Caenorhabditis elegans: one gene and its partners. The protein of the gene in region 4 interacts with the protein of the main gene of each other region in a pairwise test. Each region holds a gene or a part of one and is shown on either strand. Other genes may lie near its edges. The genes, in order: cbl-1, ZC15.3, pnp-1 and cla-1.

Region 1 (5,519 bases), on a different chromosome or scaffold from region 4:
GATTCCCAAATTGGCGGAATTCTATAAGTTTGAATTCGAGCTTGTCGAGTACAAATGGCCAAAATGGTTGCATAAACAAACGGAAAAACAAAGAGTTATGTGGGGATACAAGGTAAATCTTATTAGAATTTTGGATAATCACACTTGAAACTTTTCAGATTCTATTTTTGGATGTTTTATTTCCTCTAAATGTGGATAAAATCATCTTCGTAGATGCCGATCAAGTTGTTCGAGCTGATTTACAAGAATTGATGGATTTCAATTTAAATGGGGCTCCTTATGGGTAAGAATTACAATATAAGAACCCAATTAACTGTTATTATTCATTCAGATATGTTCCATTTTGTGAGAGTCGAACAGAGATGGATGGATTCCGATTTTGGAAAAGTGGATATTGGAAGAATCATTTGATGGGGCGAAAATATCATATTAGTGCACTTTATGTTGTTGATCTTAAGGTATATAAGGATTAATTTTGTGGATTACGGGAAATTGGGTTTCGAAAAGTTTGTATATTTTTAAAGGAAGCTGTGAAAAACTGTGCGCCTTTGAAGAATTACAGTAGCTTCCAGACTTCGTTGTTTTACAATTTAAGTCGTGGAAAACGAAGTAGTAGAAAAATGGATCTTATACAAAAAAAAGTGAAATAATTGAAGAAAACGAAGTAGAATCAAGTAGAAACTACCGTACTCTTACAAGGCTTACAATCTTGTTCGTAACAAAATATTAATTTCATTTCCTATCTAACGTGCATGTTCTTTTATAATACAACATTTTTCAGGCGTTCCGCGAGTTCTCAGCTGGAGACCGCCTTCGTGGTCGGTACGACAGCCTATCTGCTGATCCGAACAGTCTTTCGAATTTGGATCAAGATCTTCCGAACAACATGCTTCACGAAGTTCCTATTAAATCATTACCTCAGGAATGGCTTTGGTGTGAGACATGGTGTGATGATGGAAGTAAAGAAAAGGCAAAAACAATTGACTTGGTGAGATTTAATACTTTTAAGCACTTTTTGTGTTAAACCAATATTTTTAAAAAATATTTTTAAAAAATGTATTTCAGTGCAACAATCCACTGACAAAAGAACCAAAACTGAACTCGGCAAAACGTATTATCAAAGAATGGACAGAATACGATTCAGAAATTTCGAAAGTTTTGAATTCTGCAGATATCAACACTCCATCACCATCAGTGGATCGAGATGAATTATGATTTTCCTGTATTTTTTCATTATTTGAATTTTTTGTTTCTTAAACTGTATCCGAATTATCACAATTGTGTTAAAAATTGTATTACTTGAATGAATATGAATAAATATTTTATGAGCTTATACAAGGAGGAAGGACGGCTAGAAAACCCATGGCTTTAAGCAATCCAGTAACAATGTTTCAACAATTCCAAAATTACCTCTGCTTTCGGGGGGATTTATTCAACTTCAAGATGTTCTTGTAAAGCTTTTCAAAATAAAATAATCTGCGTTCGGGGGGAATCGAACCCCCGTCGAATGCTTGGAAGGCATCCATGCTGACCATTACACCACGAACGCGGTGATGTAACGAAAATGGATATAAAAAGAATAAAATATCTTTATATGTACGATTTTATTGGGATTTATAGGGATGCATAGTCGGAAAATCAAGTTCCCGTCTTTTAAATACCTTTTCCATCCTTTCTTCACATAATCGCCGCGTTCGTGGTGTAATGGTCAGCATGGATGCCTTCCAAGCATTCGACGGGGGTTCGATTCCCCCCGAACGCAGATTGTTTTATTTTGAAAAGTTTTACAAGAAGAATGAAGTTGAATAAACTTTGCTGGCAAATTTTACCTCTACATTTCGTTGAAAATTTACCAAAACCAAACTAACAAAACACTGATAATTTTAAAGTCATCATGTGGAGACTAACTAATGATAAGAACTGATAATCTATCTGATCTTGCATCAGCGAGAGATTATTGGAGAACTGATAAATACATTTCATTTGTAATCACATTTCAGTTCTATTTGCTGTTGGACACAATGAGGTAAGTGTCCACACTGATATTCTCGTATAGTTGAAATTCTTTTAGTGACAGTTTCAACTGGCCAGCTGGAAATAACGAGGCAAGAGAACGTTTGGGAGAAAAGTGAGTTTACTGAATTTCAAGGAGTTCCCCGGTCATTTTCTAAAGTAAAAACTAGGTTTTTTAGGCATCGTAATTTTCAGTTTCGTTGCATTTTTTATTTTTCAATGTTTAATTGACTACTGTAGCGCATCCATCAGAGGTAGGCACGGTTTCAAGGCCTGTGACAGCCTGAAACCTACCGGCCTCCTCGTCTAAATAATGCATTCTGGCGTGAAATTAAAAAACCTGGAGATTGAACCACAAGTTGCGATAGGTATATGTGTTTCTCCTATGCAGAGTTTGCCAGCAAATGTGTTCTAGGGCAAGGGTGTTCTGGTAAAACTTTAAAAAATAAAACAATCTGCGTTCGGGGGGAATCGAACCCCCGTCGAATGCTTGGAAGGCATCCATGCTGACCATTACACCACGAACGCGGTGGTTTTATAAAGAAATGATGGAAAGGGTATTTAAAAGACGGGAACTTGATTTTCCGACTATGTATCCCTATAAATCCCGATAAAATCGTACATATATTTATGTTTTCTTCTTTTTTATATCTATTTTCATCAAATCACCGCGTTCGTGGTGTAATGGTCAGCATGGATGCCTTCCAAGCATTCGACGGGGGTTCGATTCCCCCCGAACGCAGATCAAACTTTTTTGAATGTATAAAAAAAGTTTTGTTAGTAACGGAATTGTTTTCACATATCCTTTTAATCAGATTTGAAAGTCTCCACTTGGACAGTCGAATTTCAACATCTCATGCAAAACCACTTTCAAATGCTGATCCAGTAGTTGTTCCAATTTATCATTCAAGTACTTATCGTTTCAAAACAGTTGATCAATTCAATGAAGACAATCACGGTGCCAACTTTGTATATCGTCGATGCGGAAATCCAACAACTGAAAATGTGGAAGTTGTGATTAATGAGATAGAAGGCGGTGCAGGATCCCTCCTATACAACTCGGGTCTTGCAGCGATTAGTGCAGTTTTTCTGGAATTTCTGAGTTCCGGTGCTCATATGATTGTTATGAACCCAATTTATAGTGGTACATCATCATTTATTAATGAGACATTGGCTCGTTTTGGAGTTGAAATAACTTCTGTTGACGTTGAAAAAGAAAAGGATTTTGCTGGAGCTGTTGAAAAAGCAATTCGGCCAAATACTAAGATGATTTACTTTGAATCAATTGCCAATCCAACGATGGCAGTTCCAGATATTTTGGGAACAATTGAAGTGGCAAAGAAATATAAGGTTAAAAAATATACGATTAAGAGAGCTAGATTAATTATTCAAGTAATCTATTAATTTTACTGTTTTTCAGATTCTTACATGTCTTGATGCAACTTTCTCATCTCCATACAACATTCAACCACTGAAACTTGGAGCAGACATCAGTCTTCATAGCTGGTAAGACTAGTTATTCCAAAATTTAATTCATAGGTGGATCGAGTCTCAAAAATAAAACGGAGATTGGCAGTTGAAAATTTGTCTAGGCCACATTAATTTTAAAGTAAAACTTTCCATTCTTTTAAAAGCGTCGAAGGAGAAGCATCAGTAAGGAAATGATTTGAATCATCTCCTATAGTGTTGAAATGTCCAAGTAAAAGACTTTAGTAAAAAGCTTCCAGTTTTTGAAATTTTGGCAAGTAACCAGAACTTTGACTGGAAACTTTGAACAATTTAAACATTTTGCAGTGTTAGGTGCTCATACTGAACTACAATAAATTTGATTTTACAAAACTCCCACTGATTTTTTCGTAAATAAAATTCGAAAAGAATTGCAGCTCAAAATACATTGGAGGACATACGGATGTGATTGCTGGAGTTGTTACAGTATCATCTTATGATAATTGGAAAAAACTTAAACTTCAACAATTGACGACTGGAAGTTCTTTGGTAAGCAGTTTCTGAGTAGAAAAAAAAACAAAAAACTTGAAACTTGCAGAGTCCATACGACGCTGCCCTGTTGACCAGAGGTCTCAAAACTCTTGGATTGCGAGTTGATAGGATTTCAGAAAATGCTCAGAAAACTGCAGAATTTCTAGAATCCCATCCAAAAGTTGAACGTGTCTTTTATCCAGGACTTCCATCCCACCCACAGCATCAATATGCTAAACAAGTAATGAAACAATTTGCTGGAATGATTGCATTTGATGTTGGAACTGCTGAAAATGCAATCAAGCTTGTTGAGGCTAGTTTATTAATCTAAATGAAAATTCTGAAGAATTATTATTCCAGAGTCTTAAACTAATCATTCATGCAGTATCTCTTGGTGGTACTGAATCTTTAATCGAACATCCTCTGTCAATGTCTCATGGTAAACATTTACTTCGATATTTGGATGGTCCGACTGTTGCCCCTGGACTTCTCCGATTTAGGTACGCTCTGAGTTCTTCTGAATCAAAACTTTTGTATTTAAATTCTATTTAAAGTACATAACAGAAACTTTCTATCGGCAATTTTGACAATATCCGATTTTCAATTCGAAAGTGCTCCCTTAAAATTGTTTTGGCCATTTTATTTTTTCCAGTTAAAAACATTTTTTAAAAATAACTTAAATAGGAGTAAATTATTAGAAACTACAATTTAATAATTTTTGCAGCGTTGGCATTGAAAATGTGGAGGATATTATTGGAGATTTGAATGATGCCCTCGAGAAGCTTTGAGCAATTTCTTCAACATTTCGAAATCATTTCTCTTTAAAAAATTAATAACTTCTTTTTTCAGTTTTTTTTCAGATTATTGTCAAAAGTCTATAGATATTCTATAAAAGTTCAGAAAAATCATCGCTTGTGCCGTCTCACTTTTGTAACAAATGAATTGCAATCAGTGATTTATTGTACTTCTCCTAAATAAAAAAGATGATATACAATAGAAAATGTAGAGAATTAGAGATTAATTGACATGATATCTATTGACAGGAAACAAGATGATTCTATCACTAGTGAAACGATTAAGAACTTGATAATATTGAATGTATCTCAAAAGGAAATTATATTGCTTAGAGATCATTGATTCTTTAGTAGAAGTGCACATTGAAAATGGCAATCACTATCAGGAAAACTGGAGATTGGAATTTAGAAAAAATCTTATACTTTTCTGCAAAAAAAAACCGCGCGATTAAGAACTCGGAGAAACAAAAAAAAACATTTTCGTTGCTTGCTAATTAGCAAAATTTTCCAAGTTTCAATTTTGTTTCAAGGACGTCGACAAATGTTTATCTTTTTTTGTAATTTTTGGTTTTGTCAACAAATTGAAAAAAAATCTGTTGCAAAACTTTCCAAAAATTAAAAAATAATGAAATATGGACTTTGAAAAAACAAAAGATATTTTTGTCGTTATCATATTCTCATACCTCTTATCTCTCTTTCTGTAATATTCTCTCAATAGATTCTGTCTCTATTGAC
Region 2 (3,416 bases), on a different chromosome or scaffold from region 4:
TCTGGATTTTCACGCATTTCTTCGCTCCACTCGTTCATTTATTACACTTTTGTGACGTCCTATCCACAATAAGTCTGCAATTTTCCAGGATCGAGCACACTCACGCTTGGACATGCCAAACAAGAGCACCGACGACGATAATCCTCCGCTGCCCTGCAGCTGCCCAGCTTCTAGAAGCTCAGGAGATGACAGAGCTCCAACACCAGCGTCAATCATCTCGCTACAGCGTCAGGCATTAGCGGCGGTCCTGGACGCCAGACTACGAATGAGTGCAGAACAAGCTGACGACGAGCAAAGACAAAACGCTGATCGACGCGCTCAGGATCAAAGGGAGAGCTTCCGACGTCTCCGCGAAGAAGCATCAAGCTTCGCCGACTTCTTCACCAACGCGAGATTGCCAGCCATGAGGACCTTTTCGCCAGGTTAATATCGAGAGTATAAAGAAATGACTAACAATTTTTATTGTTTTAGAGGCTGCCCGCAGCTCCTCCAACTCTTCCGGCAGGAATCCACGCATGGATCAGGATTTCGAACTGGCAATGGAACTGGCTTGTGAAGAAATGTCGGCGACACACGCGAGAGCCCAGCCGCCCATCAACTATGAAGCCAGCAATTCCCCAGAGCAACCATCCAGCGAAAGCGACGAAGAAGAAAGCGTATCCAGCGCAGGTATGACAGTTCATAGAAAACTCTCATAAAAATCCAATTCGATTGTAGGAAGTGGTTCCATCACCCCCACGGCCGCCCTCGCAAACGTTGTGGCTCCACTGGAAGCAACTGTGGCCCGCATCGGAACCCAGATCACCGCGATTGGCAATCGAGTCGACGAGCTCTTCGAGCAACAAGCCCACATCTCTCGCCAGCTCAATCTCATCCTAGAGAGCGGCCCACGTCCCTTCAAGCGGATTATCATCAATCTATAGGCTCAATTCAAGGAAAGCGATTCCCAACCGAAGCAAATCGCCGCGTTTGTAACCATCCACTATCAGCATTCGGAAATGGCTGCCCTCTTCAAGAAGACCGAAGGAAACACGTTCCATAAAGAGGGAAACGTCGTCGAGCAAGCTCCATATATCGCAGGAGCGGTGACGGCCAAACGCAAGGAAATCGCAAGAGCTGCCCACGCTCTCCAAGGACCAGTGGCTCAGATCACTGCATCAGTGGATCAACACTTCATCAGAGTTGGCGCGGAGCCCGAGATGCCAAGACCAATATGGACGTCGACAAGATTGACCGCATCCAGTCTCCGATACTCCGTCAACACCACCACGGAATTCAGACGAAAATTGGTCGAACTGCTGAGAACCGACAGCTTCCGAGACACCCAATGGATCACCATTCTTCCCATATACCCTCCGGATAAAGAGGCTGCCCACGACGAAGCAGAAGCCGTCGAAGACGTGGGAGAAGCATCCGATTAAATCTAATTAATTGTTGATTGGTCTTGTTGGCGCGGCTGACCACCCGCATTATAAATGTTCTGTTTTGACTGATTCATGCCATTTACGTTATTGGAAACCGGTTGCAATTACCGTGATAATATCTACTCTCGCTCAATCATAATCGCTCTAACATTCCTTCATTCAGAACTGCCATCATGCCCCGCGAAGAAAGTGAATCTCCACTATTGGTCTACGAAGATCCGAGACATACGCCGTACACGCCGTTCAAGTATGCCAGAAAGGACGAGGAAGAGAGAAGCTCCGGAGGAGGAAAATCGCCGCCCAAGAAAGCCCCAAAAGCCCAGGATCGCATGTCACTCCGCGACAAATTTGAGGCTGCCCCCACCACCAAGAAACGCAAGACGGCTCAAGACCCAGCCGATGGTGAGGAGAAAAAACTAATTATGCAGGCTAAAATTGATAAACCCTCCGTTTCAGAGCTCTTACAAGCCATCAAGCCACTCTTCAACCAAGTCAAAAAGGAAATGGCCGATCAACTGGCTGATCAGCTCGGGAGATTCAACGAGCAACTCGACATGGCGGTCAACTCCTTCAGCGACGAGATAGTGAAGCTGAAGGCGGATCACGCCTTGGCCGAAAAGAATGTGGATACTTATGCCCAAAAGGTCTCAGGAATGTTCCAGCGCGCGGACATGATGTCTGCCAACGTCCAGGAGCAGCGAACTCAACAAGCCGAGGACAATCGTATGGCCTCCAAAGCGAGAGACAGGATCATTTACGACATCGCTCAGGTCGCCACCAACATGAAGACGATGAGCGAAACCATCGCCAAAATCGACGCTCGTGAGGAACAGGCTGCCCAAAAGCAAGCCGAGCGCCACACCCCACAAGGAGGACAGGGATCGTTGGAGCCAGCGCTGGTGAGACTTATATTTTCTCCTATGTCAGGGTAGAATATGCTCATGAATATTACAGAAGTGCCCACTGTGCAAGCGTCATCACGCTCCGGAAAACTGCACCATTATAAGAAATGGACTCGATCGTCGCGAGGAAGCCGAAAAGATCAAAATGTGCATTCAATGCCTCGAAGTCGGCGTGACAAATGACGATTGGGTCCACGAAGGCTGCCCAAAGGAGAAGGAGCAGTGCACCAGATGCACCAAATACATGAAGCCAGGAGAAATCGCCCAGACTCACCACAACGCCACATTCTGCCTAATGCTCACCTCGAAGCAGTACAAGCTCGAGCGCAAGGGATCCCCATCCGATCGTGTAAGCGTATCCTCACGACACAACGAAACAGAACAGTAACATTTCAGGATTACTCGCCAAAAGGCCGCAGAGGACCAATTCGTTCCCGCCACAACCGCTATGGAGGCTGAGGACGCCGCAGAGACAGCTACCATTAAGCTTCTGCATACTCGCTGCCCCCTCCTCATTATCATTCCCGTTGTTGGATTAAACCCGTTGTTATTGTGGCCAAGCCACTTACCATTGTTACTGTTGTTATTGTTCTTTTGGCTGCCCATTCATGGGATCTTATCTAAATAAAGCCTCATCGTCGAACTTCTTCAATTATCACCTCATTTATCCGTTCAAGAGTCACTCACTCACGAGATATTTTCAAAACATAGAGAAAGGGATCCACTCGGAAAAATTAATCCAGCTCAAAACCCCCACGGATAGGAGATAGAGACGCAGATACCTCTAAGCCGGCGCTAATCACCACCGCCCGCTCTACAACTGCACTAATACCTGCAACTTTCGGAAAAGAAGCGCTAACTCCGCGAAGCACATTTATTCGCAGCGCCTAAGGACCTGACAGCCCATACCCTTTAGGTCAGAGCTTCAAGCAACGGGGTCGAAACTCGCAGCCCCAACCTGATCAAAGAGCCCCATTCACAACTCGGAGATCAGGACACCAACCATCTCATTAACTCACAGTTAATGTCAGCGTGTCGTACAATCCCCCAATGACATCGCTCTATTGCTCCGAATCAGGACAGACGCAAA
Region 3 (7,929 bases), 7.3 Mb from region 4:
TATTCATGAATTTTAATGTAGACCTTTCCATTTGACATCTGGAGGGCGCACTTGTAGGACACACGAAAAGTTTTAGAAGTTGCTTATATGAAGGTCCTTTTTCGAATAACGTAGCTTCTGTATGGTATGGGTGTCAAAATTTATGCCCAAATGATGTCCATGTTGAGCGATCACTATGAAAACCAGCAACTTAAAAATTTCAATATGATTTTTATATGATAAATCGGCCAAAAGGTATAAACATACAATTGTACATATTGTCGGTTATTCTATTCGATCAGATGCTATACTTTGTGGGGCGATGTGCGCCTTTAAAAGGCTAAAAAAGAATGAGTAAGTGAAATGGAAGAAGAGAATCGAGTGAAATCAAGAGAATGAAAGCAGGTTATATCATAAAAGATCAAGGAACACATTTAGAGAGTAATCTCCGTAATGATATCCGACACAAAACGGGATGCTCGTTCACCGGCTTGTTGCGCGATATCCATAACTTCTTCATGTGACACTTCGACTGATGCATCTGCATCCAAGTTTGCAATATTGGTAATAAGAGAGAAACCAAGGACCTTAATTCCACACTGACGAGCTACGGTAACCTCGTGGCAAGTTGACATTCCGAGTGCGTCGGCTCCGACTGTTTTGAAGAGTGATACCTGGAAAATTGAGTTCGAGTTTGAGCACACTCCATTATTATGGCACCCCAGGGCTTTCTTCAAAAGTTCTCTTCAAATCTCTTTCATACGAATTGTCTACGGCTATGATTGAGTTTTACTTTTTCAGCTGAAGAAAGTTGAACTGGAATTTCGACAGTGTCACTAAGACCAAAAAATCAAACTTCCGAAGGAAACGCTTCACTACTCTATCTTATCAAACCAGTGTATAGTATGAAATAGCCTTGAATAGGCATTTATGAATACGCTAAAGCAAAAGTCACGTGGTTTCTCTCAACGGTTTTTCAAATTCTCAGGATCAATTAAAATGGCTTATGAACGTCTACTCTTTGACCAAATGATGCCTAGTTATTTTGAACTATACATATGTTTTTTCAGTGTACCATCAAAGTTTCTGAAAAAAAGATTTTTACCTCAGCTGGTGACTCGTATTGTGGTCCACCGGACATCACATAGACACCCTCGTACAACGTCATATCACTACGACGGCCAACATCAATGGCGAGTTGTCTGGAAGAGTTTAGTTAATGGAACAATTTTTCTCAAAAGTTACCCTCACCTAAGCTGCTTATCATAGGCATCATGAACCGATACAAATCGGGCTCCAAATCTGGGATCGTTGCATCCGACAAGTGGAGAGAATCCGGCAAGGGCCGGAAGGAAAATATGATCCTTGATGAGCATCAAGTCTCCGTGTCTCAACACGGCATTGATACCTCCCGCTGCGTTGGAGACAATCATGATCTTGATACCAAGCTGGTGCATTACACGGACTGGGAGGGTGCACTAAAATGGGCAAAGTTACCGAAACATTTTCGTGCAAGCTTTTTTTTCAGGCTATTTTTAGCATTATAAGAAGCCAAATTCAAGCTCAATACCTGTTTATGCCCCTTAAATTTTTAAATTCCTAACTTCTTCTACTCACCAAAGCCAAATCCATATTATGCTCGTATGGGTGAAATCTTCCTTGCAAACACACAACCTTCTTTCCTCCTAGCTTTCCAAAAATCATGTTTCCTTTGTGCCCAACGACATGGGTTGTTGGAAATCCTGGAATCTTTGAGTACGGAAGGATAGTGGCGTCTTGAACAGTGTCTCCGATTGGTCCAAGACCGGATCCGCAGATGATTCCGAGGTCGGCTCGGGCAACATCTTCTCCTACTTGCTCTCTGATTGAGGCGGCCACCGAGAGCACATCGTCGTAGTTTCTGGGGCTGAAATAAGGACTGTTTGATCTTTCTTCTGCTATCATGTCATATCGAAAATCAGAACTTCAAGTTCCAATCATTTCTGATTAAAAAACGGTTTAAAATCGAAAGCTGTTAAGTTTGAAGCTTTTCGCCTCATGTGTCTTATCAGTGATAACATGCGATGCGCTAAACGTGCACAGAACATCTTTTGAGAAAAAAAATTTTGAGTGGTACTCACAAGATTTATAGGTGTTAAACTAGAGACTACTATTCAATCTACATTGAAAAATGTAACGACAACCGAATGCGGTTTTCCAAATTTCACCTCACGAGTTTTCAACTTTGTGGATACCTATTGGATTTAGTGTGGAAACTTAAGAAAAATACACTTTTAAAACAAACTGTTGCTACGCGGCTTTAATAAGTAAATGAATAAATTCAACGTGGGTCTTTCACGTCTTCCTTATATTCCTAGAGTATAGGTTCCACTCAAACTCACTCAATTTTCTGATTGTGCTCCGCAGCGTTGGTTGGTGAATTGTTGTTCTCCATGGCTGGTGATAGTGAAGTAGAAGTGGTGAGTCTGCAATTTTGAATAAGATCATAAAAGTTCTAGTCCGAAGAAAACATTTCGGACGCCAACAAAACAATATATGAGAAGGCTACAAAAACAGTTTTATTATGTACTGTTGGAGGGGGCTGGTGAATACTGAGACTGGTGGAGGGTTCTAGAGAAAACACAGAGATAGGAAATCATGATCGTTTTTCTCGTTGCCCATTTATTTTTCATTGAAAAATCTCACGAGGTCTTAGGAATATCAAGTACCCGGAAGGGAGACGCTTGTGGGTTTGGGCAGGGGTGGCCTTTCAAAAGTTAATGGTTTTGGGGTGGGTGTTGTCCAAGAAAAGTTGGAGATTTGAAACATTAGTTTGAGGAGTTGAATGAAAAACTGTCACATGGCTACTTTCAAATCACATTAGGCATAGATAACGCCACGTGGAAGCCAATGAAATCAAAAAGCAATCATACTACATTCAAATCCAAACCCATAACTTAAATCGTTAAATAAGATCGCCCAGTTGAAGCTGGATTTTAAGGGATCTTTGCCACATGGCAGGTAAATTGGACTAAAACTGTTACGGGATACGTTTTTTCTTGTTGCTTCAAAATTCGAATTGTGCCTAATAATATACAACACTTTGAACATGCATTTTTATTTCTCGCTTCTTTCTCACTTATCCCATTAATCTCAATCATTTAAAGTTTTTATGAGTTCTTCTGATAAAAGTGTTTTGCTCTTGATATTGCAAAAAAATAATTTCAACTTGACATCATCGAAAAAAAGAATAAAATTGTTCACTCTTTTGCTCAAAAAAAAATTGAGCAATAATTACACTTGCAGTCCCTGGCAGAATTGCGTTTCTATTAATATTGCTGACAACATGAAAAAAAGATAGCTCAGATTTGATTTTAGCGCTTTTTGAGAATTTAATTATTCCTCAAAATACTTCCAACTATAAAAGAATAATAGCTAGCTTGTCGACTATGCATCGAAATCAAGAAGACAGTCATCATAATGACAAATGTAAATCGTGAAACTTCCCACGTTTCAACCTAGAGCGAACCTGGAGCGCGCGCGTGGGGTAAAGAGGTTGGGAGAAATGAATGTGACTCTGTCCACATCAACCTTCCAATCACTGATAACAATGTGCTCTCTCTTTCTAACCTAATGATAATAATAAATGGGCGGTTCACTGGCGAAGAGCACACAGCGAGAATAACTATTTTTTTTAGCTGATTCAGTGATCATTTCCGAGAATTCAAAGGTTTTATGACCCAGAAACGGCTAGTTCTCGAGAAATTCGCATAACTGATAAAATGAAAAAACGTGCCGTTAAATTTGAATGCTCCGAAAGGAACAAAAAGAAGTGTTGGGTATCAAAGTGTCGCGTGATAAAAATTTAAAGAAGGAACATGCAGAGACAGGTGACACAATCTAACAACAGACTGATATCAACAGTACGTGGGCCCTAGACTAACCTCGTGACTATTACGTACGGAATTGTAGATCAAAGTGACACTATTTTGGGTGCGAGTAGAGTCGCTTAAAAAAAGGTATTTAGAATTCCAACGTTCATGTAACAAATTAGTGTTAGAATATTGGAGTTATGATGGTGTTGAAAATTATAGTTTCTGCCACCATGTAGATTTTTTTCTTTAAAATAATATCAAGTTAGTATGATAATGTAAAAATTTAAAACAAAATTGAAAAGTCAGAACGACTGAAATTTACTCATCTTTAATGTACAATTTATAGTAATCAGTTTAGTAATCATGTTTTGAAAACAATGATTGAAACATGAAAAAAAAACATGAGGAATTTATAAAAAATTACGCACTGGTTGTTAGGTATTTGATTCATTGTATGAAGTAAACAAGGTAAACAATTCCGCCTCCAAAAATAGGCACATACCTGTGTTTCTGCCTATTGCCCAGGCTCTGATTTTTATGTGAACACTTAGTAAAGATTTTATGAAATTTCAATAAATTTCATATATGTTCCGAAAAATTCAGCCATATTAGAATGCATTTTTTTTAGTATGCGAGGGAAGAAGTGACATACATTGTCAAACACTCAATAGATGTTATTCAATTTTTGCAACGTATCGTTTTACTGTTGAAAAGCAGTTTTTCAAAGTTCCACTACAAAAGTAGACAAAATAATTCTTTTCTGAAAATCTCAATCGATATCTAAATTTTTATTAAAAATTACATCAGAATTTGATTCTCTCCGAATCAAAACTGATAACACAATTGCGGGAAAATTTAGGTGGGGAAAAACTGAAAAGTATTCCTGCCGCTACAGTTGTAAAATCAAAAGTAACACAATTTTTATCAATTTTTCTAATCATTTATCAAAATGTCGTCATCATTTTTTGTGACCACGTGACACTGGAAAATTGAAAATTTTCCCCTATTCGACTTGTTTATGACAGTTTTGGGAAAAGGGAATTATGTTAAGACGATTAGGGGTAAATAATCAGGAAAAAAGAAACTCGGGCAGAAACATCCGTTTTTAAAACTGAAAATAAGCTGGAAATTTTTGAGTGTCATTTGAAATTCAAATTTGAAATTATAATAATTTTTCGATTGTGAAAAGAAAATGAAAAAACATAGTTGGAAAATTGATGATTGTGTAAAGATACCTTACTCTAAACAGCCCAAGTTTCAATATTGAAATCTTCAGTGCATTTTTTCACTACTTTCGCAGCATGTAAAAATTCACTAAAAACTGTTTTTGTAAAGTTTTTAAGGTAAACGTTCTGGAAAATTAAATTTGCAATGTTTTTTTATCTGAACATTTTTTGATCGGGTTGATCGAATCGGTTTTTTACAAAATTTTAACATTTCCAAAAGTCTTCTACTCCTTGAAACACCGTAAAACATAACATCTTATAAAAAAAGGATGTTACTTCCCAAATTTGAAATTCGGATAGTTTTTTAGGACGGCGGTAAATGACTCCTCAAATGTAGATATTGCCTTATGCCTACAGGTGTTTCATTTTAAAGTATAAATGATTTTTTTCCTATGTAAATTTCCAGAAAACAATAAAACTCCAAACATAAAATCGGCATTGAAATAATTAATCAAATGTCCAACATAGCAGAACGATAATACAAACAGATTCAATCAAATTTCCCATTTTTATTATACTCAAAAAATAAAATACTCGGTTAATACTATACTGAAATTTAGGATCTTTTTCAATTTGGCGCGTGGCGCAAGATGCTTTTTAAATACTAAAAAACTGCTGTTTGAAAATTAAATACAGAAATTTAAAAAAAAACATATATTTTTTTAAACAGTACTAAAAATTGGTTTTAATAGAGCAATTTTGTACACCCATGAGTTATTAAAAATATAGATCTACATTAAAAAAGAAAATGACTCGACTTAAATGCACTTGAAATGAAATAATTTTTCGATACGGATGGCTGATTTTTTATCGGCAAAAAAAAAACAAAATTGACATGATAATTGACTGAAAAGTGTGTTTTATTGGAGATAATTGGTGTCAACCATAATGTTGAACTTTTGAGACTACAAACTACACACGTTTCAGGAAACCAGAATACAGGTAAAAATATCAGAAAAAATCACAAACTTTTGAGTGCAGTTTCCCATTGTTTGAAGAAAAATCGAGCAAAGAAGCGAGTAATCGGAAGAAATGATTTTTAATAAACCCAATAAAATTTGCAAAAAAAATTTTCACGTTCAAATGATTTTGAATTAAAAAATTTTTTGCAAATTAGATTCTATTTTATGAAATTCACTGATGTGATTTTTTAAATATCGGAGATTTTTTAGTTTTTTTAAGTTGTGAAATATTTTTGTGAATATTCCAAATAATTACAGCTTAAAAGTAAAGACTTGACCCATTTTTGTCTTAGATCTCCAAGTTTTCACTAAGTTTTTTATTGTTACTGGTTCTGAAAAGCAAAAAACACTAATTTGAGTTTAAATAGCACTGTAAAATTTTTTTTTCAATAAAATAAAGAAGACCAAGATCCGAGCAGCCTATATTGAGCTACACTAATACTATATCAAATTTTTTGTAATTTTTCAACTTTGCTTACCTTTTCTAATCTATCTCGTTTACGTACTGCCTTTTGATTTACTTTTATAAAAATCTTGTGAACCGTTTTCTTCATATTATCCCCTAACTATCAACCACCTGCAGTACTTTTTAGTGTTATGTTTTTTGCATGTTTTTTGTACAGAAACGAGAGGACGACGAACAAAAGTTGTATGTGGTTATCATTTGGTTTTTTATTTCATTCCATACCATTCAATCAATCATTCAGTCTCATCTCTCTCCCATATTCCCAATATTGACAACACTAGTCATCCCAGTAGTCAGTGACGATGATATGGTCAACTACTTCTACTTGAATGAGACAACGGAAACACGCGGAAAATAGTGCTGAAACTGGAGAGATTTGGAACCGAAGAGAACCTGTTGGAGAAGAATGAATGTCTGGAGGCCGAGATTTTTGAAGAATTCATTGAAAATTGCGGACATTTTGAAAATGTTAGCCAGCTGATACAGTTGGAAAAGCATAAGGCACACAAATTTGGAAAATTTTAGGAATAGTGAATTGATGACGTCCACGGGGCAAAGCTAAACTATCATTGGTTTTCACAAAAATTGTCAACAAAAAGGATAACTATTACCAGGTTCCAAATAGCATTCAAGCTAAAAATTAACTCTTATCTAATCGTTCTCATGGTATAAACTTCTAAATTTGGAGCGCGGGGCTAGAGGAGACTCGGTTCGTCAGGTCATACGTGACGACTATGCTAAATCATATCACAGGCTCTGACAGATGAAATTTTTCAACAAAAAAAATGGAATTTGTATCACATTTTATGATCAAAAATTAACATTCCCACTTCACATCACTTTTGTAATTCACTAACTAAGTTGCGACTAAAGTGATATATTCTGAATAAATTTCTAACTACACTATCCCTCTACAGGACCTCAATTTAAGCCACGTGACAGCTTGTCGACGATCTCAAAATTCTTATTACAGGTATAGTATGATTCTACCGGAATGAAATTGTTTGCCAGATAGCTCCCGAGTGTGTTAATCTTTAGTGAACGTATCCAAGGTGACCTGAAAATGCACTCACTACCTTCTGTTCATATTGGATGAGACAATTGAAAAACAAAAAAAGTATTATTTTCGGAAAAACCCCTACATAAATCGCGCGGTGCGTGATCTCTCAACTATACCTTTTATCATATTTTGATAGACATTGCCACGTTCATTGACATTCGGCGTTACTTCCTGGATCTTTGTTTTTAAACTAGCATAATATTTAGGTATTTGTGGATACAAGACCTAGCAAAAAAATCACGCATTACCACGGTTATCAAAAGTCAAAATAAGCAACACCTCCCATTGTACTAATGAAATAACTTATTTTCGGTTTTTGGTTCATTTTTAACATGCTTTGTGTTGTTTAAATAAGTTTTACTACAGTTTAAAACAGTAAAGG
Region 4 (4,889 bases):
ACAGATTCTGTGATAAAGAACGTTCAAAATCAATCAAAGCAATCTCTTAGTGGTCTAACCCAAGAAGAGCTAGATAACATTGCACAGGCTACTGAAAGTGCTCAGCAAGAATCTAAGCAAGAGCTCACACAAGATGAAATAGATCACATTGCCAGAATTAATGCTATGGCAGCGGAAGACTTTGAACAACCCGCAGTTAATATGAATCAAGGATTGTCACAAGCAGAGAAAGATCATATCGCTCGTATTGAGGCTATGGCAGCGGATGATTCACAATCTAAAATCATTGTTCCTCCTCCTTCAATTATCCAAAAAGATATTGAACTTTCAATGGAAGAAATGGATCACATTGCTCGAATAGCTGCAATGGCTGACGAGGACTTTACACATCCTGTTAAAGGAGCTGTCGCGCCAATTTATGATGAAAATTATAGTAGGGACGATGGTGCAATTGATAGATTCCCAGCTTCGACAGCTACTCCAGTGTTTGCGCAGCCGTCTGAAATTGAACTTTCTGAAGAAGAGCGTGAACATATTTCCAGAATCGCTGCAATGGCTGAAGAAGATTTTAATACACCATACGTTTCAACACATCCAACACAGCAAATTGAAATAGAACTAACGGAAGAAGAAAAAGAACATATTGCAAGGATCGAGGCGATGGCTTCCGAAGATTTAAATGCGCCATCTCCCTTTATCCAACAAGAGCAACGAGTTGCGACAATGCCAGTGCCAATTAATTATCATGTTGAAGAACCAACTCTATCGCAAGAAGAAATTGATCACATTGCAAGAATAACAGCTATGGCTACTGAAGATAACACTGATCTACAAACTCTACCAACTCCTCAAGTTAAACAAAATGAACCGGAGCTCTCCCAAGAAGAAATAGATCACATTACTCGAATAGCTGCAATGGCAAATGAAGACTTTGGAATGTATCCTTCAATTGTTTCTGAACATCCTGCTCCAGTTGAATCTGAACTTACTCAAGAAGAACTTGATCATATCGCTAAGATCACAGGAATGGCATCTATGGACATCAGTACTCTACCACCTCCAACAGGAAAACCATCCGAGACATCACTTACTCAGGAAGAACTTGATCATATTGCTCGCATAGCTGAAATGGCATCAGCAGAATATGATGTTCCTGTAAAAATATTCGAACCACCAGAACTAACTCAAGAGGAACTTGATCATATAGCAAAGATTACTGCAATGGCTGCACAAGATGTCCAACTTCCTGCCACCCAAAGATCGATTACTCATAAGGTTTCGTTGACTCCACCTCCTCCTCCTCCTTCTAAACACTTTGAGCAAGATCTCACTCAAGAAGAGCTTGACCATATTGCAAGAATTGCTGAGATGGCTGATATGGATTATAACACTCCATTCACTGCTGAACCAGTTCAAGATGAAGAAGAAGAACCAATAACAGAAAGTGGATCAGATGCAACATCAGGTGCTGATATATTCGATGAACAAGAAGATGCAAGTTCAGGCGCCAGCGGCTCCTTCGATAACAACAATGCTCAAGTGCTAACGAGCGGCTTCTCTCCAGATCGAGTTACATCTCCTGCTGCACTTGACACAACTGAAGAGCCCCAGGGTCCTATTATGGCTCAGAAGGTGAGAAATAGACGTTGTTTTTTGTGTGCGAGCTGTTTCTATTTTCCCAGCCATAAATACTTTTTTTTCACATTCACCATGTTGCTATGCATGCCGTGGCAATGCAACGGTGTCATTAAATATTATGCAGATAGCGTGACAACTCCCAGATTTTCAACTTTTCCCCTTTTTTGACTACTAAACACTACTATCCAACAGGATTTTATGATTTTCAGACTGTGTCTCCGACGCCATCAGCAGATTCGATGGCGTCACGGAAGAGTAGTGAATACGACATTAGAAGTATATCAGAGATTAGGCAAGAGTCCGAGTCGGATATCGGAAAGTGGTATGCTGAATTTTTAATAAACCTTTTTTTTTCTTTTTGAAAATTAGTGTTTCAATTTTACTATTTTGTTCAGGTATGAGGAGCAACTCAGTTTCATGCGACAATCGATCCACGATGAGGAAGAAGATGTGGGGCGTAAGTGGTTTAAAAAAAAAACTTTTATGCGCTTCAGTGTAGGTACACAGAGGCCTACTCACCTACCTAGTATAATTTGCTAAAACAAATTCTACTCGACAAGAGAATTTCTACAGCAAAGAAAGCAAAAGCTAGATAAAATGTTATCAAAAATATTTTACAAGAGTGTTTAATTAATTCTTAATTCTACAAAAAACAATTCTAATTGCAATCAGCAGACTTTTATCTGAACTTTCAAAATTTTCCACTATCCACTCTGTTTTTGACTCAGAAAAACGTCCAAATAAAAGAAATGACTGAATATAATTTCATTAGACCTATGTAATACAAATATTACATTTTTCTTCTCTATTTACTTTTTTATTTTTGAAATTTCAGATGAAATTCGAACTGACGTTGAAGAGTTCCCATTGGAGTATGTTGAGGATCAACTTCACTTCCTTGAAGGTGAGTTTTCTGTCAAAAATGAAAAATTCATAGCACAAATCAAAAAGCGAGACGAAGAGACCAAATCTCAAAGCAAAAAAACATATATTTGCAGGTATTGACGTAGAGAGCCAACACCATGAGCCCACCACTTCTTCTGCCTTCTTTGGCACCGGAAGATCGATTGGTGAAGGGGAAAAGAGAAAATATGGTGACGACGCCGTGGAGCAGCAAAAACTGGAGAACTACGAAGAGGAGGAGAAGACGAAGAGTAGTAGTCGTGAGGCTTTTGATGATGGATTTGAGACGCAGAGAGAAGAGTCGTTGAGGGCGCAGCAGACACCCATCGATTCACTGCCGGGTAGTCGTATGTTGAAGCGACCCAATTTCGGCTTCCTTTCTAATATTGCAAATGATGCTATTAATAAGGTAAGTAATTGAATATTCACTATGACCTATCAGACTTCACCGTTTGAAAAAAGACCATGAACAAAAAACTAAAACTCAAAAGACTACGTTTTTGAAACTGTAAATGCGCGAAGCTATTCAAAATATTTTCAGTCACTATAGAAATTGTTATTTTTTTTAGAGCTGTTTGACTGAAAATAAATAATTGTCCAAAATTGTTTGACAGGTTTTATTATGATATTTGGTATGGATATTTGAAATGATTTTCCAATAATGTAGAACATATTATGTTGCAACAATTTGTTTTTTTCTGTTATATTCAAATTTACTGTTTTCTAGAAAAAAAACATAGAAATTATGTTAACATCTAAGAAACTCTTCAATCAGCATTTTTTCTTAAAAATAACTAACTTTTACATGCAACATTTTGAGAATATGAGTAGTTTTTTATACACACAAATTTATATATTACATGAATTCATTTTCAAAAAAAAAAAACCATTTCAATGTCAGTATACAAAACCAATTTCGCAGTGTCTTTGACTCTCCAAGAGCAGCTACGATGGGCTCGTTACTCACGGAATTCGACTTTCCGGTCTTTCCAAAATAACGCAAATGTGTTGTTCCCTCATCCAACAAACACTATACAATCATTTGTTCTTCCTTTTTTCTTTTTTTTTTTTAGCGGTCACACATACACCATTCCAAAAGATGTACCCATCGTTTTGGTCTATTTTCCACTTTTTTATGTTTTGTTGTATGTGTCGCTTATGCATAAATGTAGGGTGTGCAACAAAAAGAAACACTTTAGGATTCGGCTCGGGGGACCCCCATGCCTCATTAATTTTTTGCGAGAAGACATGCGTGTGCTCTTCTCTCCTTGTCACTTTCGATAATTGCTCTTTTTGCAGGCAAAGGAAGCGGGTTCGCAAATCCAAGCCGCCGTACCCATCAAGGTGAGTGAACTTTTTTCTTTTTATTCTCTTTCCGTAGGGCTTCCGACCCAATTCAATTATGGTAACACGATTTTGATCTAGATCTCATGACTAAACGCTCACGAGTTTTTCACTTGATTGATTACTTTTTTTTGAGAAACTGCTTTTGGTATTAATATTATAAACAAACAATTAACTAATTCACAAAACGGCTAATGTTTTTAAACATTACTTCTGTAAATTAATTTTTTTGAAATAAATTAAATAACCTCAAAATAATAAAAACTTTTCAGCCATCCTCTTCATCATCAAATATTGTCAACAACAATGTCTTCTCTAGCAGGTAATTGATATTTTGTCAAGTCAACTATAAAAAAAACAATTTCAGCAAATCCTCAACCTCCCTAGGCACCAGTGCTCCAACCAAATCTATTCCGTAAGTAACATAAAACATTCCCAGTATATCAGATTACTCCCCGCACGTACACTTTTCTACCTCCCCTCTTCTTTTTTCTTTTGATTTTCATTTCCTAAATGGTTAATTTTGAAATTACAGCTCTCCACAAATCGGTATTCCGATGGATGGTCTTTCCGAAGAAGAACGTCGACAAATCATGTCAGTTATGGCTGCAGCCGACTTTGACGATTCTGTTAATAATGTAAAACCAAGCACAAGTGGTTCATCAAATATTCCAGCAGGAATGGAGGATCTTTCGGAAGCAGAAAGAGAAAAGATCATGTCAGTTATGGCAAATGCAGAAATGGAGATGGGCGCACGTTTCCCTCCTCCTTCAAGTCAAATTCCAACAAGATCTCCCAGTGTTATGAGTTCAAGTATAATGTCCGAATTACCACCTGGACTCGATGATTTGTCAGATGATGAAAGAATGAAAATTATGGCAGTTATGGCAGAAGCTGATATGCAGAATGTGCGAAAACCCATTGCAAGAGGCCCACCACCAATGCCACCAAGGTTAGTTAGCCGACAATGAGACACCAAAATTTTAAGATTATGAAACACAATG

What was found.
Region 1: the proteins of cla-1 (region 4) and cbl-1 interact in a two-hybrid assay, tested with the Caenorhabditis elegans proteins (one large-scale study listed by BioGRID).
Region 2: the proteins of cla-1 (region 4) and ZC15.3 interact in a two-hybrid assay, tested with the Caenorhabditis elegans proteins (one large-scale study listed by BioGRID).
Region 3: the proteins of cla-1 (region 4) and pnp-1 interact in a two-hybrid assay, tested with the Caenorhabditis elegans proteins (one large-scale study listed by BioGRID).

Annotation. Positions count from the first base shown.
Region 1 is NC_003279.8:9,325,947-9,331,465, forward strand, and holds cbl-1 (plant cystathionine gamma-synthase), read left to right. Parts: upstream 1-1,910; coding exon 1,911-2,026; intron 2,027-2,071; coding exon 2,072-2,128; intron 2,129-2,460; exon of another isoform or gene 2,461-2,544; intron 2,545-2,680; exon of another isoform or gene 2,681-2,759; intron 2,760-2,828; coding exon 2,829-3,363; intron 3,364-3,433; coding exon 3,434-3,519; intron 3,520-3,896; coding exon 3,897-4,008; intron 4,009-4,057; coding exon 4,058-4,303; intron 4,304-4,350; coding exon 4,351-4,490; intron 4,491-4,714; coding exon 4,715-4,778; 3' UTR 4,779-4,982; downstream 4,983-5,519. Other genes in the region: uggt-2 (UDP-glucose:Glycoprotein Glucosyltransferase), read left to right, coding at 1-112, 159-283, 332-458, 782-988, 1,066-1,215.
Region 2 is NC_003283.11:20,302,023-20,305,438, forward strand, and holds ZC15.3 (CCHC-type domain-containing protein), read left to right. Parts: upstream 1-1,565; 5' UTR 1,566-1,597; coding exon 1,598-1,826; intron 1,827-1,880; coding exon 1,881-2,323; intron 2,324-2,378; coding exon 2,379-2,675; intron 2,676-2,722; coding exon 2,723-2,785; 3' UTR 2,786-2,886; downstream 2,887-3,416.
Region 3 is NC_003282.8:292,233-300,161, forward strand, and holds pnp-1 (Purine nucleoside phosphorylase), read right to left. Parts: upstream 6,049-7,929; coding exon 6,029-6,048; intron 2,445-6,028; coding exon 2,361-2,444; intron 1,886-2,360; coding exon 1,597-1,885; intron 1,458-1,596; coding exon 1,231-1,457; intron 1,182-1,230; coding exon 1,085-1,181; intron 654-1,084; coding exon 414-653; downstream 1-413.
Region 4 is NC_003282.8:7,608,803-7,613,691, forward strand, and holds the start of cla-1 (Protein clarinet), read left to right. Parts: upstream 1-1,877; coding exon 1,878-1,960; intron 1,961-2,033; coding exon 2,034-2,095; intron 2,096-2,473; coding exon 2,474-2,542; intron 2,543-2,636; coding exon 2,637-2,950; intron 2,951-3,840; coding exon 3,841-3,885; intron 3,886-4,157; coding exon 4,158-4,207; intron 4,208-4,252; coding exon 4,253-4,300; intron 4,301-4,420; coding exon 4,421-4,837; intron 4,838-4,889. UniProt on the Caenorhabditis elegans protein: Required for synapse development in the active zone of presynaptic terminals of specific neurons including serotonergic NSM neurons.